Linked DNA regions of Rattus norvegicus. The protein of the gene in region 1 purifies or fractionates together with the protein of each later gene. This does not show direct contact. Links are inferred from orthologs where the notes say so. Each region holds a gene or a part of one and is shown in the gene's direction. Other genes may lie near its edges.

Region 1 (5,711 bases):
TATCATCAAAGCAGGAGCATGGCCGAGTCTAGGAAGGCATGGGGCCGGAGGAGCTTAGAGTTCCATTTCTTTTTCCAAAGGCAGCTAGCAGAAGACTGGCTCCCAAGCAGCCAGAAGGAAGGCATTAAAGCCCATGCCCACAGTGGCACACCTACTCTAACAAGGCAACACCTACTCCATCCAACAAGGCCACACACACTTCCTAATAGTGCCACTCCCTGGGCAAAGCATATACAAACCATCACATTCCACTCCCTGACTCCCATAGGCTTGTTCAAACATATGGGAACCATACCTAAATATAGCATAATGCAAAATACATTTAGTCCAACATCAAGAGTCCCTATACTGTACAGCACTCTCAACCATGTTAAAAAAAGAAAGGTCCAAAGTTCAAAGTTTCTTCTAAGATTCAAGCAGGTTTTTTTAACTGTAATCCCATATAAAGTAAAAAATACTGGACCGAAGCAAGATAGAAAACCAGTTGGGCAAACTCCAAAACCCATGTCTCCAGGTCCAATGCCAGAGCATCCTTCAGATCTCTAGCTCCTTTCACCCTTGTTGAGTGCTGTTGGCCCATGTGGCCCTCAATGGCAGCACACTTCATTCTCTTGGGCTGGTTCCACTGTTAGCAGCTTTTCTCAGCAGGTAACTGAGAAAAGGACTCTGGCATCTCTAACAGCTTGGGGTCTCCAAGGCAACTTCAACTTTACAGCTTCTTATTCCAATGTATGGGGTCCACAGAACATCTTCTGGGCTCCTCCAAAGGGCTCGGGTCACCTCTCCAGCTCTGCCCTCCGTAGCACTCTAGGCTCTGGTTGACTCCACTCCCCTGCTGCTGCTGTTCCTGGTGACCAGCCCATGGTACTGGCATCTCCAATATACTGGAGTCTTCCATAGCAACTAGGCTTCACCAATAGCCTCTCATAGGCTCTCCTCATGGTCTCAAGCCTCAACTACTTTGGATGACTTCCTCAGTCCTGGGCCATCAACTGTAACTGCATCTTCACCAATGGCCTTCCTTGGCTCTCACAGTGCCAAGCCTCAGCTGCTCTTCATGACCCCTTCACGTCTTCAAAACCAGTAGTACCCTGGATGACTCTTACACATTATTAAGTACAGCTTCTTTGTGCTCTCAGAAAACACTTCCCAGAAGATTTCACCTCAGTGATTCTGGTCTCTTCTTAATCCCTACTAATTTCTTAGCTCCAGATAAGAAGCATCAATTGTCCCAGTAACCCCTTCTATTCTTGACTCTAAAGTTAAGGCCATGTGGTAAAGCTGTTGAATTCTGCTGCCTGCTGGGGCTGGCCGCCCTTTATTCTATTACCAGCTTTCTGTTTTTCAACTCCCTCACTGCCTACCCTTGACTGTCCTGCAATTTGCTCAGTAGATTGACCTTGAACTCAGAGATCTGTATAGCTTTGTCTCCTGAGACTAAAAAATGTTAGCACCATGTCCTGGGCTCTGCAAGGAGGTATCAGGAGGAGGTAATGCTGAACCGAAAAACAGGTCTAAAGGTGTAGTTAAGTGGGGCTTTATGGCAACGGGTCTAATGGGAGAAGAATTCTTCAAAATGACAGGCCAAACAGAAAACAAAACGAAGGCAGGGGTTCGGGGTGTAGGGGTTAGGGGGGTTGCTGGGGTTACAGAGGAACCGGCCAGGGTCGGGAGGGGAGTTCAGCAAATGATGTAGAATGGCTTACCTGTCTCCGGCGTCGCAGCCTCAGCTCTGTGTCTGGCAAGCTCACAGAACTTCCTCCGGAGCGCCTGCGGCTCCAGGGATCCCTCGAAACTCTAAAGCAGGGCGCCCAGGACGCTGCCATAGCAACGGCGTACCGTGCCATCGTGCACGCGGGGCGGGGCTGGAAGTGAGACACGGCGAGGGGGCGGGGCCGGAAGTGCCTCCGCGGCTTTTCTCTGGGTCGTCGCCATCTTGCCATTGAGTTGGAGACTTCGTGTGGTGAGCTTAACCTTGTCGCCGTACCGGTTGTCCACACCGAGGCGGACTGGCAGCCCTGAGCGTCGCAGTCATGCAGGCCGGACCCGTGCAGGCGGTACCCCCGCCGCCGCCAGTAGTCACTGAGCCCAAACAGGTACCGTGCCCCGTGCTCCTCCGCCTGCAGTCCTGTTGTAGGCCTCGTTCCTCCACTCCCGCGCGGGCGCTGTGGCACTTCTGCTGGAAGCACAGGCCACCCTGAAGGACTTGGTGGGACTGCAAGTCCCAGGAGTCAGCGCGCCGCGTTGCCTTCTGGTCTCAAAAAGATTTCCCTAAACCGGACTTTTCAAAACTAGCCTGCGGACTTGAGCCTCGGCTTCCCCTGGGGGCTTATTTGAACCACGAAACCTCCATTCTAAGGAGGAGAGCCAAGAAAGCCATTCTTTTCCCTAGATTAGGAATGGTTGTATAAATACCGTATGGTTAAGAAAGCTTGCTTTGTTTTTAACTGCTTCCCAATGCTAGCTTCTTGGATGCTAACCCAAGAGAGTCTGCAGTCTGCAGGACACAGTCCTGTCAGTGGTATCATGGAGAAACGCTGAGGGCTGGTGTAGTTTTTATGATCTCCTAATCCAAGCCAGGGACTTGAAGACCTTACTCCCTTTTTCTGTTTTCACAGCCAAATGAAGAAGAAGCATCATCAAAGGAGGATTCCACCCCTTCCAAGCCAGTGGTGGGGATTATTTACCCTCCTCCAGAGGTCAGGAATATCGTCGACAAGACCGCCAGTTTTGTGGCCAGGTAACAGCTGCTGCTGCACAGTGGGTCAGGGGAATTGTAGTATAAAGGGCTTTTGAATCGGGCACCATGGGGTGTTTTAGAGGCTCTAGCTTAGGCTTCCAAAACCACAGTAGAGCAGTGAGGTAGGCGATAGACAGGACTGGTATCATTGACATACCATGATAGTAATCACAGTGAAAGCCCCATCTAGCTGTATATTTCTGCTTCCAAAACAAATCTGAGGAATTCCTGGTAGCACCTTTGTGACTGATACTGTGTGTATGCTGTGTGTTTGAGCTGCTGGCCTGAGGAAATGAGTTGATTTTTCTCATTGTGAAAGGGCTACTTTCCACAGAGACTCAAATGATCGGTTACAGATGAGCTAAGAGCAAGCTGTTAAAACTGGTCAGGATTTCTCTCAGCCTCTTCATCCCACACACTTCTACATCCTTGGATGCTATTTTCTGAGGACCACTTGACTCCCAACGGTCAACACGTCCCCTGACTTAGGGCATTTATAGAGAGAGAGTATTCTTTTGGCAACCAGCATCGATATCCAGTCTGCAGAGTTTGGTTTGTCCTTAGAATCCTTAAAAAAGAAAAATCCTATTGCCACACTTAAAAATGAGGTGATCTCACCAGCAGTCTGGATTTCTGTCTTTTCTTGAACCAGACTGCAATGTTTGGTTCCAAACTTCCTAATAAAGTGAAGCACCTCTCTAATAAAGATTCCGATTGATATATTTTCCCATCACTGGACAGGCTTTAATTACCTTGGATTTTCACTTAAAAGATGCCCTAAGATAGGGCATTGAGTGTTGTGTGTGATTGGCTAGTATTTCACAGCAACCCTTTTCCTAATAATAATGCATAAGGAATAAGTGCAGTCTTACTGTGAGGGCAACTCCTGCCCGCTGTTGTCACCGTTCACCGTTCATTAGTCCTTTGCCCTTGGCACCCGTTTTTAAATACGGTAATAACACAAGTACTGTCATGTCCCCATTCTCTTTGCATGCTAAACTGTAAACATTTCCTAATTACCTTTTCCTCCTGCTGTATGCTTTCTATGGCGAGGGTGCAGGGTGTCCAGGCTGTCTTCTCTTTGAGACTGTTTCCAGTGTTTCCACTTGGTCAGTGAAGCTGTACGAGGAGTTTGAACATTACCTTTCCCTCTTAGATAGTTTCTTTAGAAGAAAACTGAAACAATAGTGATTAGGAGAACATGGAAAGCTTCAGGGGTTGGGGAGACAGCTTAGTTCATTCAAGTTCCTGTCACAAGAGTAAACAAGAGCTTGAGTTTGGATCCCATGGTGTATAACCCACAGATACCCATGTTAAAGCAAGATTGAGCAATGGTTACATCTGGTAACCTCAGTACTGGAGAATAGAGACTGACAGATTCCTGGAGCTCAGTGGCCAGCAAATTGCTGTGCTTCATATTAACTAAGGTGGGGCCAGTGTATTCATGTATTCTGAAGGCAGGAGCAGGTTGATCTCTGTGCGTTTCGGGCCACCCTAGTCTACACAGCATTCTGATGAGCCAGGGATGCATGGACCCTATCTAAAATAAATAGGTAGATAAATCTAAATAAGGCAGGAAGTGATTGGGGAAGACAATGGACATGAGTATCTGGCCTCTGGGTATGGGTGCACATAAGTGTGCACTTAGAAACATCTCAGTTTCCCAAGTAGCTTTCTGATAATTGTGTCATCCTTTGCCTCCACAGCAAAAAAAAAAAAAAAAAGACTGACCAAGTTCTCTTAAAAATAAATACTTGTTACTGGACATAGTGATACATACCTGTAATCTTGGTGCTAGCAAGGAATGTTAGAGAGACTAGCCTGGCTACATGGTGGGCTCTATTTTAATGAAGGGAAATGGGAGCTGGAGAAGTGGCTCAGAAGTTAAGACCACTTTCTGCTCCTACATAGGACCTGAGTTTGGCTCCCAGGACCCATGTCAGGTAACTCACAGCTACAGAGTCTGAATACCTGCATGCATGCCCTTTAATATGCACTCGTGCACACAGAGTCAATTTTCTTTTTTTTTTTTTTTTAAGAAAAGGAAAATGAAGTGGATACCTTCAAGTTCCATAATGTGTGAGTTTAAGGCCAGCCTAGGCTTGTGAGTTTTTTATCAAGGCTGAAAAAAAATAAATGGGTTGATTGTGTAGCTTAGTGGTAGAGTGAGTATATGTCTCCATGTATAGGACATGAGTTCTGTTTCTAGTAGTGTAAACATCTCACCATGTTTCCAGATGGGTTTTTATCCTTGGTGATCATTTTTGTAGGAATTCTGAAATCTGACCTTGAGATGGCTCAATGGGGTAATGTTTGCAACACAAGTAAAGGTAGGCCACTCCTCAGAGCTTGCTGATTGGCCGGCTTGCTAACATAACCATAGTGGTGAGCTCCAGGTTCAGTGCAAGACCCTGCATCAAAGAATGAGAATGACAGTGATAGAGGAGGGTACTTACTCAGTGTTGGCCTCTGGTCTCCACGTGACCTGACCATAAACATGTGCATGTTCTTCCCCTACCTTCTCATGCTTTACAGTGAAGGGACAGGTCACAATCTTGGTCTTGGAGAGAGCCGGTATTCAGGTCTCTGCTAGGCCACATGCTCAGGAGGCAGGCAGTGGGTGTCTGCAGCCAAGTCTGACCGAGTAAAAGGAGCATTTTCTCTGTAGATGAAATTACCTTCAAAAGGCTCTGCCAGCTGGACTACATGACAGTCAGGCTCTTCTGCTGAAATCTGTTTCTTGTGTTGGAGGAGCTAATTCTAAAATTAACAGGAAGCCAACTTAGAGCGCTGGAATTTCTTGGAATAAGTACATCTGCCTTTGCATGTCTTTTTAAGCGTTCCCTGATGTGTAGAGACCCATGGCTTAGGAGGCAGTACTGCAAGAGACAACCAGACCTATTTTTCTAGAAGCCAGTAGTCTCCATGGGCATTTTCCAGGCATGGTGACCTGATCTGGCAGGACCCAAAT
Region 2 (5,639 bases), on another chromosome or scaffold:
GTGTGGAGAAAGTTCTCTCTCTCTCTCCTCTCTTTCTCTCTCCACCCACCTACCCCCACCCAAGCACCCTCCCTTCTCTCTCCCTCTCTCCCCTCATGTTGATTCTTCCAAAATCACGAGTAGGCCAACTTTCAACTAACTCACTTCCACCCTTTCCCCTTCCTGCCTCTCTCCATGGTGCTGAGGATGGATCCCAGGATTTCCTGCATGCTTACACAGCCACAGCTACACACTGGTGAATCCTAGGCAAGCCTTCTACCGTTGAGCCACACCTCCATCCTCACATTGGAGGAGTTCTAAGCAAGTGGAGCCATGCTCTCACTTCCTCTTGAAAAGTTCCCACTCTGTGCTTTTTAGGATCCCTATGAAATCGACGATGTCACTGACCCCATTTTGAAGATGAGGAAACTGAGTCCCAAAGAGGTTAAGAAGTTAGTCCAACTAAGGTGGATCCTAAACACAGTATCTGAATGGCAGCAAAGCAATGTTATACCACTAATTCTGAAGCCAACCTTCTTGGATTTTAATTTCAACCAGCTGTGGGATTTGGACAAAATACAATAACTTCAGTTTCCTCATCTGATAATGGAGATCATATCAGTTCTGATCTCACTAGACAGTACATTGCTTCTGCCTAGTATAGGGTAAAAGTTTGGTGGGGGTCGTATAGTGTGGGATTTGTGCACCACCAAGAAATCTAGTCTGGTTCACCCACCACCACTACTCCCCCACACACACCCCCAACACACGCACACACTCCCCATCCCTGCCCCCCACCCCCATCAGATCCCTAGTCTGCCTCCTGGCTGTTTTGGGATCTTTGGTGCCTGAGTTCCATTTCCTGACAGACTGGGGAAAGGAAGTTGGGGGTTGAAAATAAAACCCTTTACCTTTCTCACTTGGAGATTGCCAGGACTACCTGGGGGTCGTACAATCAACAAGGGACGCAGAAAAGTTCCCCAGAGACGCTGTGGATCCAGCTGCCCTACCACAAGCCGCAGCTTGGCTTCTGAAAGGCTTCCGATCAGCGGGACCTTGGTTGGGAAATGGGATGGGGGAAAGAAAAATGAAAAAGATCCCATTCCCAACTTATCCCGGACGCGGTTGCCCACTAGGAATGCTGATTCTTCTTGGTGATGCAGTCTCCAGCATCCAAAGATTTCCTAGATTGGGAGAAATCTTCAAAGCAAATCTGATCCAGCCTACTGCAGTCCTGACGAAGAAATTGCAAACGGGTGATGGAGACTTCTAAATAAATGGTTTGGGCACAGAGCTCAGATCTACCAGTGTTTCTATGCGGATGCATCCTCTTCAGAGGGGTCTAATCATAAAACAAGCCTGAAACCTTATTTTGTTGGGAAGGGGCATACGCTCAAGTGATGGATAAAGAAATAGCACAGGCGGCAAGGGCTAAACGATAAGGCCACGCTAACCCGAGACTCAATATGAAGGGAAAGAGGGAAATGACGCTGGCTGGGCCCCAGCCAAGGCTTACCCGCAGATCCCGGCTCCGTGATACCTCCTCAACCCCAGGGTGCCAGCTATTCCAGACGATATAAAAAGCCAAGCCCAGGGCCAGCGCCAGCAGCAGCAGGGGCAGGAGCTGCACCCGCGGCAGAAGACGGCGCTTGGAAAGTGAGGGTGGTTTCATGAGGCCGCGATCCCCGAGCCGCTGCCGAGACCGCCCGCGGCTGGCCGGACTCATGGCAGCTTTGCCCTGAAACCAATCCCCCCGCAGGGTGGTTTGAGTTTAGGCCAAGATTCGCCTCTCGGAGGTTACAAATGCCAATAAAGAAACACAGTAACTGCGTCCTCCCCCAATCGATTGCGATTGGCTCTCCTAAGCGCCGCACCACCCAAAAGGGAGCGCGGAAACCTTAAGGCCCGCCCCCACGGGAGAGAAACAGGCAATGAGCTGTGTCCGAATATACGAAACCTTCCCCGGCGCGGGGCCACGCCCCTTACGGAAGTCGATCAAGAAACTGTGGTTCAAGGAAAAAGGGGCGGCATCCATCCCTAAAACAAGGAACCGATTGGTTTGCCTGAAGCCATGCCCTCAAGAAAATTGTCGGCGGGTATTTTGGAAACCGGGTTGCGTTTTCCTTCTCCCAACTAGACAGTTAGGCGGGAAAACAATTTCAGTCAGACCCCGTTTTATTTTCCGCATGAGCAGACAACCTATTGTGATCCTCAGAGGCTTCAAATCCTCCCTATAGGCATTTTCTGCAGGAGAGCGTAGCCTTAGAGTCACTATGGTAACAGGGCACGCCCACAGTCGTGATTGCGCAGGCGTCGACGGAAGTCAGCCGCAGGAGACGGAAGTCCCGCCCTTCTCTTGCTGTGCTCCAAAGGCTAAAGCAACGCGCTTGGAGGCGGGAGTGATCTGCTAGCGAAACCTTCACCATGTGAGGCCGGGACGGGCTTCGGCGGGGACACGAAGATGGAGGGGGACGGTTTAGCTAAATAACAATCGAAATGGGGTGCTCATAGCTGAGGGTAGAGTTTCTCGGGCAAAAATAATGTCTTCTGAGGGATTTGAGAACGGGCATGGGGCCTCGGTTCTTGAGTTCCGGAGAGGGGACAGCTTTATTCCATAATGGGTGTAAGACTCTTCTAGGTACCGAGGCTTGCGGAAATGAACCGTAAAGGAAAAACTGAGTCTGATGGCACATGCCTAGAATCCCAAGCCTAGAGAGGCTGAGTCAGGAGTATCGCTAGTTGGTGGTCAGCCTTGACCAGCTTCATAGCGTGTCCGCTTACAAAAGTAATAGTAATTTTATATAGAAGTGGTCTTAATGGATGAAGAGCTTGGCGGAGAAGGAAGTACTATTAGAAATAGTAAATAGAGACGTATGGGACTTAACCAGGATAAATTAGGACTTTTGAACCTAATTAGAGATTGTCAGAGTAGCAGGCTACTACAATGGTTTATTCATTGAGCGGATATTATGTAGACTGTAAGTTAGACACATGGTAAATAGAAGGTCCTTGCTACCAAGGAAAAAAAATCTCTCAGGGCTTATAAAAAGAATCCAATAGGAAAGCCATAGAGTAATAAACAAGTACATACAGTATGTCTTAGATGATCAGGAGTGTGAATGGAGAATTGAGTAGGAAAGAAATAACACCAGTAGGTAGCACAGAAGTATTGGGCATTGAAAGCCCAATACTTGGGCTGGGGATTTAGCTTAGTGGACAGAGTACTTACCTACTGTGGGCCCTGGGTTTGGTCCTCAGCCACACACAGACTAGATGTAACCCCAGTATCCTGGAGGCAGAGACAGACAAGTCTGAGTTCCAGGGGCAGGTCTATTTATACAGGGAGACACTGTTGTGGGGTGGGATGGAAGAGAAATGGCCAAATTTTTGGACATATCATGGAAGCAGATGACAAGATAAGACGACAGAGTGAGGTTTGAAAGAATCAGGTGCCAGGCATGATGGTGAGCCCCCTGTAATCTCAGACCTTGGGTGATGGAGTCAGGAGAATTGAGAATTCAAGGTCAACAGTGGCTGGACGAGGTTTGGTTAATGAGCTGGAGCAGGCTAACTTGGAAATGTCTCTCCTGCCTCCAGAGAAGACTGTACCAGGAAGGGCATTTGGGGGCCAGGCTGGGGAGACACTGGACAATGTAGCTTTGGTCACTTATGCTTCCAACCTGAACCCGTCTCACCCCCCGGGTTCTCTATCCAGGAGTCTCCTCAATAAACCCAAGAGTGAGATGACCCCAGAGGAGCTGCAGAAGCGGGAGGAGGAGGAATTCAACACAGGTCCCCTCTCGGTGCTCACACAGTCGGTCAAAAACAACACGCAAGTGCTCATTAACTGTCGAAACAACAAGAAGCTCCTGGGCCGGGTGAAGGCCTTTGACAGGTGGGCATTGTCTTGGGGAAGGTCATTTGAGAAGAATTGTCGTAATAAGGTGGGCAAGGTGACAAAGTGCCTTTAGTCTCAGCACTCAAGGGGATCACTGTCAGTTGGAGCCAGCCAGGGTCACAGGGCAAGACCCAGCTAGCTCAAAAAATTAGAAAGTGGGGGTGCTTGGCTTTTTTTTTTTTATCTTATGTGTTTGGGCGTTTTGTCTGCGGGTGAGTCTGTCTGTGTACTGTGGACATGTCTAATACCTTCAGAAGTCATCAGATCCCCGGCAGGAGGAGGGACAGGAATTAAGATGTTTGGTTTGTTCCTCTGTAGGCCAGACATCAATGTCAAATATCTTCTACTGCTTTCTAGTTTGTTTTGAGGCAGGGTCTTTAACTATGTAGCCTGGGCTGGCTACAGATGTAGCAGAGGCTAACCTTATGCTTCTGATCCTCTTGCTACCATCTCCCAAGCGCTAGGATTACAGGGGCGAAGCATACCCTCCTGCCTTGTTTTAGTTAGCATGGAAGTTGCCTTGTGACGTGGTCCTACACATCTGGCATTGTACTTTGCTCATCGTCACTGTCCTCAAGCAAGCATTCGTGGAATGAACTGATCCAAGTGTGAGCACATGTCCACCTGCATGAGGACAGGGCCATGAGGCACTGGAGTGCACGTGTTGGGAACCATGTCTAACCCCAGAACTTAAGGTTTGGAGGGAGCTAATGCTTCTCTCAGAGTTAGAGTTAACTGCAGAGCCAGGGCCATTTTGGTGACCTTTACTGTGTACCGGGGTCCTAAGTGCTTCTTTCATCCAATCTTCACATCAGCCCCATGAAGTAGACTGTTTCCATTTCAAGAAGGGGGAAACTGAGGCACAGAAGGGACACTTAAGATGGGGCTGAGATCACACCTTGAAGCCTGCCCATCCCCACTGTGGAACCTGAACTCCGTCCCTATGCCTGCTGCTGGAGGGTTCACACATTCAGAATGTCCCCCTCACTCTGGCTTTTTCCTCCACCCTTTACCCCATCAGGCACTGCAACATGGTGCTGGAAAATGTGAAGGAGATGTGGACTGAGGTCCCCAAGAGCGGCAAGGGCAAGAAGAAGTCCAAGCCTGTCAACAAGGACCGCTACATCTCCAAGATGTTCCTGCGCGGGGACTCAGTCATTGTGGTGCTGCGGAACCCGCTCATCGCTGGCAAGTAAACTAGAGGCCAGCCTCAGCCCGCTGAGAGCCTGCTCCCTGCCCAGCCAAGTCCCGCAGAGCCCTGCCCAATGAGCTAGAAATAAAACCCTGTGCTTTTTGTTTTTTATGTTTTCTAGTGGTCTTCTCTGCCCTTGGGTCTTAGAGAGAGAGGCACTAGGACAGGGCCTCTGAGTGCTGGGGCATATGACTGCCCTGACTGCCAAGTAGACCGCCAAATTTGACTTTTGTGTATTGTGTGGCGGGGTGCGGATACAGGTGAGAAAGGGGGTCCTACTTAAGGGGCTTGTTGAAGGACCTTGCTGTTTTCTGGACTGTACACAGGGCCCTCTGTCCTACCCACTACTCTGTCCATCTGTATCTCTGTCCCTGCCCTCTCAGGTAATTCTAAACACGAAATTCAGGAGATCTGGGCTAGAGGTCAGCATTATCTGCCCTCCTTAAATGCATACAAAGCAGTATGGGTGTCTGGTCTGGATACGTCTGTTCTCTGTGCCCATAGGGGGCCCGGGAGGAGGGTTGGACTCCCCTAGTTACGTGTGAGCAGCCATGTGGGTGCTGGGAAGGA
Region 3 (5,429 bases), on another chromosome or scaffold:
CCATTCTAACACTCATACTTTCCAAGGTCCAAATGTGACATAATTCCTTTCTTACAAACTCAAAGGTCATTTATCCTATTAAATATTCTTTGCCCGACTCCACCAAGTCATAGGATAGCAGGGTCAGCACAGAACTCATCATGCTATCTAAAGAATCAAAAGAACCAAAGAGACAGTTTAGCTGCAAATCCTTTACGTTGCCCAAAAGTCAAAAGATTTGTTTAGATAAATGAGTTTGATTTTACAGTTTGATTTTAAGTAATGTGATAAAGAAAACTTCAAATGATAATGCCTTCTGAGAGTACAGCATGTAATTTTTAAAATTATTAATTCTAATGTTCAATGTTGGTCCAAAGCAAATTCACAAAAGTAATCATAAAATGTTGCCAGAAAAATGTCTACAAGTATTTTATTGCTTTCTTTTTATTGAGAAAAATACACACTTTAAACTTAACCTTATACCTTCCTAGAGCTGTCAGGCTAGGAGTGGAAAACCATCTGACAGGCATAGTCAATTTTCTAGATGTCTCCTAACAGTCAAGGTCAAACTGTTCAGTCTTCTCGTCTTTCTGCCTAGTATCTGGAAAGCAACTAACTGTGACCTCAAAACACTTGATTCTGTATTCTGACAAATGCAAACGATCACACCCTGGTTCAGAAAGTTTTGTGACATTAGGCTGCCATGAACAAGAAGAAGAGAGGGCCTGCAGCGTCAAAGCTCAGGCTATGACACTTTAGTGACAGCATGAAAGCCACTACTTCGTCTATTTTTTTCCCAGCTTTTCCATCTATCGAGTTGGAAAAAAAGTTATCTGACTCTATGACTTCTGATCACATACTGTAACATTAGTAAACAGTCTTGACATCTAGTGTAAAGGTAAGAAGGCACTGTTATCGCGACTATTTATTAATGGTGGGGCCCAGAATACTCCTTCTTGCATCTATGACCCCGAGTGTCCTCGAAGGGATATATGGGATATAGCTGCTGCAGACTCCAGGCCCGGAAACCACGGATACATAAGGCGAGCAAGTCTATGCTACAGATGAGACGTGAAGGCTTCAAGAACTCGGCTTAGAGGAACCCACAACCACCGCGTCCCCCAATCACCTTGTCTTCACCTTGAGGAACAGAAAACCACCCTGGGGGAGCAGAGAATTCAGCCCTTAGAAAACAAGGAGTGCCTCCGCCCTTGACCAGGCTGCAGCTGCTTAGACTCAAGCTTCCCAGCGGGCGGGGACAGGGACTTGGAACTGACTGTGCCAGGGACGCCTTGACCTAGGACAAGGCAAGAACGGACAAGGGCGCTGGGCCTGCAACCGCGACAGGTGATCGAAAACTCAGCCCCGGTCGAGCCCGCCTCGCCTGACCTCGCCTACAGCCGCAGGCAAGGCAGGAGGCTCCCCGCCCCCGTAAACCCACAACTCTGAGCTCGCTCACCTGCAGCCGGGTGACCAGTAGGCTGTAAGGCGCCATTTTGTGCACTGACAAAGATGAGGTCGCGTGAAAGTGACGTGACAGCTGGCGCTCTTAAAGCATTGGGAAGGGGGCGTGGCTGATAGAGAGACGCGTCACCCTGGTGGTGGGGCCTTCCTCCCTAGGCCAGAGTCCAGAGAGCTCAGTGGGCGGGGCTTACATGACAAGAACCGGGCGTGGCAGGAAAAGCTGCGGAGGAACTGCCAGCTTGGCGTTCGGCGCAATGCTGTCACCTTTGCACTTGGGTAGTGGAAGCTAAAGCGGAGTCAGGAGTTCAAGGTCATCGTTCACTCCATGAAAGACAACACTCCCAAACCCACATACTTTGAGGAAGCATGCAAGAAGCCCTGGCCTCAAACTCCAACACAAGAAGCAACATATGTAGGATTTTTTTTATCCAAGAACAAATTTTAGTTTATGAGTTCAAATCTAGAAGAAAAAAGAATTTTATTCAAAACCTTTGGTGCACCTGCTAGGGCCTGGCGAGGAAACTCTCACGAGAGTCAGCGAGATTTGGTGCCCTCGAGGACAAAGGCTGACGGACAGCTTGATGGCCAATCACAGAGGAGTGGAAGTAGGAACGGTGTAGGTTAAAGGTCGGGCGGAAGTTCCCTACGCTTCCGGCCGCGGGCTTGGAAAAGAGTTATGGCTAAACATCATCCAGATTTGATTTTCTGCCGCAAGCAGGCTGGTGTAGGTGAGTTGGAGGCCTGCCCCCTTTTGTTTGGGTGGGATGGTATTAGAAAGTGGGGGACTTGGGACTTTCACCTTCTCTTTAGGGCTTTGGTTTGGAGGCTCCACGTTTCGCGCCTTACGGTCCCTGGGTATTCTAGAAGCGCGCACCCAGTTGTGGCTTCTTATAAGAGGTTAGGAACGCGCGTCTCCGAGCCTGAGGCAGACGGGAGCGTCTGTGCCAAGTCTGGAGAAGCCGTTCTAGATTGCTTTGGATTTTAGGGGGGTTTCCGGACAGCTTTTTTTTTTTTGACATGGCTTTGGTGTAAAGCATAATTTAGGGGCACTGGCCTGGAATGGTAGCTCATAATCCCAGCACCAGGGAGGCAGAAGGCTGGAAGATTGCTGTCAATTCGAAACTGGCCTGAGCTTAAAAGAAGTTCCAGGCTGACTCAAGCTACACAGTGGGATTCTGTGTCAAAAAAGTATAGGGTCGGGGACAATGGAGAAAGGAGAATAAGACGGCGATCCTTTACGCCTCGCTTTAGTCATTGCTACCTGCCCCATTCTCTGTACTCAGCTTGACAGAAAACTTTCCTGATACGTCACAACCTTAATTTTAACAACATGTTTTACCATCTTTAATCTTACAGCTATCGGAAGACTGTGTGAAAAATGTAAGCGGAACATGCCCCATCACACCTTGCCTCTATACTCTTTGAAGAGCCATCAATTCCAGAGGAACACAAAAAAAGCCTTAAATGGATATACCAGGCTGCAAAGAACACAGAATACCTGGCTGCAGCCAAAGACCTCCCCCCACCACCACCATCTTCCCACTTAAGCTTGCAATTTTTAATACTTCATATTTAGGTTTTAGGGAAAAAAAGAGTCTACTTTTGGACAGTAAGATTTGTCAGAGTAATGGGGACCTTCCCAGCCCAATGTGTGTGCAAAAAGGACATGCAGTTTGTTGACAACAACTACATAGATTTAAAAGCTCCCAGACAATATTCCAAACGCTTTGCATGCATTAGTTAACTGAGGTGAATACAAGATAAGGCTTATGCTGTCGAGATAGAAGAAGGTCCTAAAGTCACAGTTATTTCCCTCGTAGGGCAGAGGAAAGATCTTAGGGAAGTAATTGCTGTTGACTGTAACCCAGTTCTGTCTCTGCAGGTGATGGCAAATGTGTGATCTGCGATTCCTACGTGCGTCCCTGTACCCTGGTTCGCATATGTGATGAGTGTAACTATGGATCCTACCAGGGCCGCTGCGTGATCTGTGGAGGTCCCGGAGTCTCTGATGCCTACTATTGTAAAGAGTGCACCATTCAGGAGAAGGATGTGAGTATAGGCGGGCTTCCCACCTGGTCTTTCTTCCTTTACTTTGAACCATTTCGCCACCCGTGGCCATCTGTTCTGATCTGTGGAGATTGCAATGTTCAGCTAGTTATTTAGGTAATTTCTTGGAGATTGTGAGCCAAACTCAGTATGGCCTGATAAAGAGTTGTTACTCTGAATCCAGGGCAGATGAAGAGAAACAAGTCTTTATAAGTACCAAGTTTGGAGAACTTTTCTCTGGTCCAGTGAGTGTATGGGCATGTGCATGTGTAGCCATCAGAGGACAACCTGTGGAAGTCCATTCTCCCTTTATACTCTGGTCTGGGTGGTTGGATGCAAATTGTTAGGCTTGGCAAGTATGTTTCCCTGCTGTCTCAGATAGTTTTTTTTTTTGGAGCTGAGGACCAAACTCAGGGCCTTACGCTTGCTAAGCAAGCGCTCTACCACTGAGCCAAATCCCCAACCCCTCGGGTTTCTTATTGATGATATAATATGATTAAAAGCAGCTTCAGAAAGGGAAAAAGTTTACAACTCCAGGTTCCAGTCTGTCATCCAGTGAAGTTGTGGCAGGAACTGAAGCAAAGGCCATGGCAGATCACTGCTTACTGGCTTTCTCCCTTATGGTTTGCTCCGCCTGCTTTCTTACAGCCTCCAGTACCACCAGCCATGAGTAGCACTGCCCCCGATGGGCTGGGCTCTTCCCTGTCATTTATCAAGAAAATGTGCCACTGGTCAATCTAGTGGGTCTTTCTCAGTTGAGCTTTCCTCTTTTAAAATGACCCTGGTTTGTGTCGGACTGACATAAAGTTAGCCAGGATCCCTGCTGAGTCGTCTTGGCAGGTCTTTTTTATTCTTAGTCACATACAAGATCCTATGTCTGTGTACTAACGAGGACATAGGCGGGGTGTAGGAGGCACTCAGTGGTTCTGCCTATCTTTGTCTTCCTCAAAAACATAAGTGTCAGTGTGTCTCAAAATGGCCTGGAACTGAAGATCCTCCTGCTTCAGCTTTCTGAGTGCAGACATTACACCCACCACACAGTAGTTCTCGTTGGGCAGGGATGTGGGGTGTAGCTGCTACTGGGGTAGTTTTGTTCTGTGGCCTAGGCCCGTCTTGTGCTCATTATGTAGTCCAGGCCTCAAACTCACAGCAGTCCTCCTGCCTCAGCCAAACTCTTAGGTAATAGGATTACTTGCCCAACTTGGTTCTCTTAAATCCTCTGTGGTAAAGGACAGTTTAGGTAGTTGTGGTGGCCAAGTTGTGTTAGGGATAGTTATAGGTGACACCAGCTTTAAGTAAAAAGAATGGTGTCAGGTAGTGAATTGGTTGCTGAGCTTATGTTTGTGTTTCTTGTCTGTGTGGTGTGCAGAGGAAATGTATAAGTAGCTTCGTTCCCTGAGCAAGGTTCAGTGAGGGTTTGTAGACAAGGCTCTGTTCCCTGAGCAGGGTTCATTGAGGGCTTTGTAAATAAGGCTATAAGCAAGTTTAACCCTGTTCTTAGAACACTACTAGCAACAAGGCATTGTTTCTCTTGTGACAGAATAGAAATGAGTAGAGTATAGTCTCACTGGACTAATTGAAGATGCTGGAGTACCTAAGCAAAATAAGGCAGCTGAGCATGGTGGTGCATGCCTTTAATTCCAGTACCTGGGAGGCAGAGGCAGGCAAATCCTATGACTGGTTGTACAGAGCAAATTCAAGGACAGCCAGGGCTACACAAAAACCCTGTCTGCGCCCCCCCCCCCCAGAAAAAGGCAGAATATAGCCCTTTAAATTCCCATGAATAGTGTAGGTAGCTTGTAGATGTAATCACTTATACCATGTAAGTAGAGGTTATTGTTTTTCTAACCTGTCCCAGGCTGTCTGACTACACCTTGTCTCCACATTACACCATGTTGTCCTTTCCTGAGTCCTTGGTGTATGCTCATGTTGAAGAGAAC

What was found.
Region 2: the proteins of Sf3a1 (region 1) and Snrpd2 fractionate together in Homo sapiens (co-fractionation; 3 studies listed by BioGRID and IntAct, with this or other methods). This does not show direct contact. The link is inferred for Rattus norvegicus from reciprocal best matches to the Homo sapiens genes SF3A1 and SNRPD2.
Region 3: the proteins of Sf3a1 (region 1) and Phf5a purify together in Homo sapiens (affinity purification with mass spectrometry; 3 studies listed by BioGRID and IntAct, with this or other methods). This does not show direct contact. The link is inferred for Rattus norvegicus from reciprocal best matches to the Homo sapiens genes SF3A1 and PHF5A.

Annotation. Positions count from the first base shown.
Region 1 is NC_086032.1:83,253,070-83,258,780, forward strand, and holds the start of Sf3a1 (splicing factor 3A subunit 1), read left to right. Parts: upstream 1-1,943; 5' UTR 1,944-2,033; coding exon 2,034-2,096; intron 2,097-2,618; coding exon 2,619-2,740; intron 2,741-5,711. Other genes in the region: Ccdc157 (coiled-coil domain-containing protein 157), read right to left, coding at 1,707-1,943. UniProt on the Homo sapiens protein: Component of the 17S U2 SnRNP complex of the spliceosome, a large ribonucleoprotein complex that removes introns from transcribed pre-mRNAs.
Region 2 is NC_086019.1:87,924,080-87,929,718, forward strand, and holds Snrpd2 (small nuclear ribonucleoprotein Sm D2), read left to right. Parts: upstream 1-2,329; 5' UTR 2,330-2,403; coding exon 2,404-2,405; intron 2,406-3,694; coding exon 3,695-3,874; intron 3,875-4,898; coding exon 4,899-5,073; 3' UTR 5,074-5,180; downstream 5,181-5,639. Other genes in the region: Qpctl (glutaminyl-peptide cyclotransferase-like protein), read right to left, coding at 891-1,034, 1,496-1,705. UniProt on the Homo sapiens protein: Plays a role in pre-mRNA splicing as a core component of the spliceosomal U1, U2, U4 and U5 small nuclear ribonucleoproteins (snRNPs), the building blocks of the spliceosome.
Region 3 is NC_086025.1:115,261,865-115,267,293, reverse strand, and holds the start of Phf5a (PHD finger-like domain-containing protein 5A), read left to right. Parts: upstream 1-2,119; coding exon 2,120-2,171; intron 2,172-2,799; coding exon 2,800-2,823; intron 2,824-3,325; coding exon 3,326-3,492; intron 3,493-5,429. Other genes in the region: Aco2 (aconitate hydratase, mitochondrial precursor), read right to left, coding at 1,439-1,474.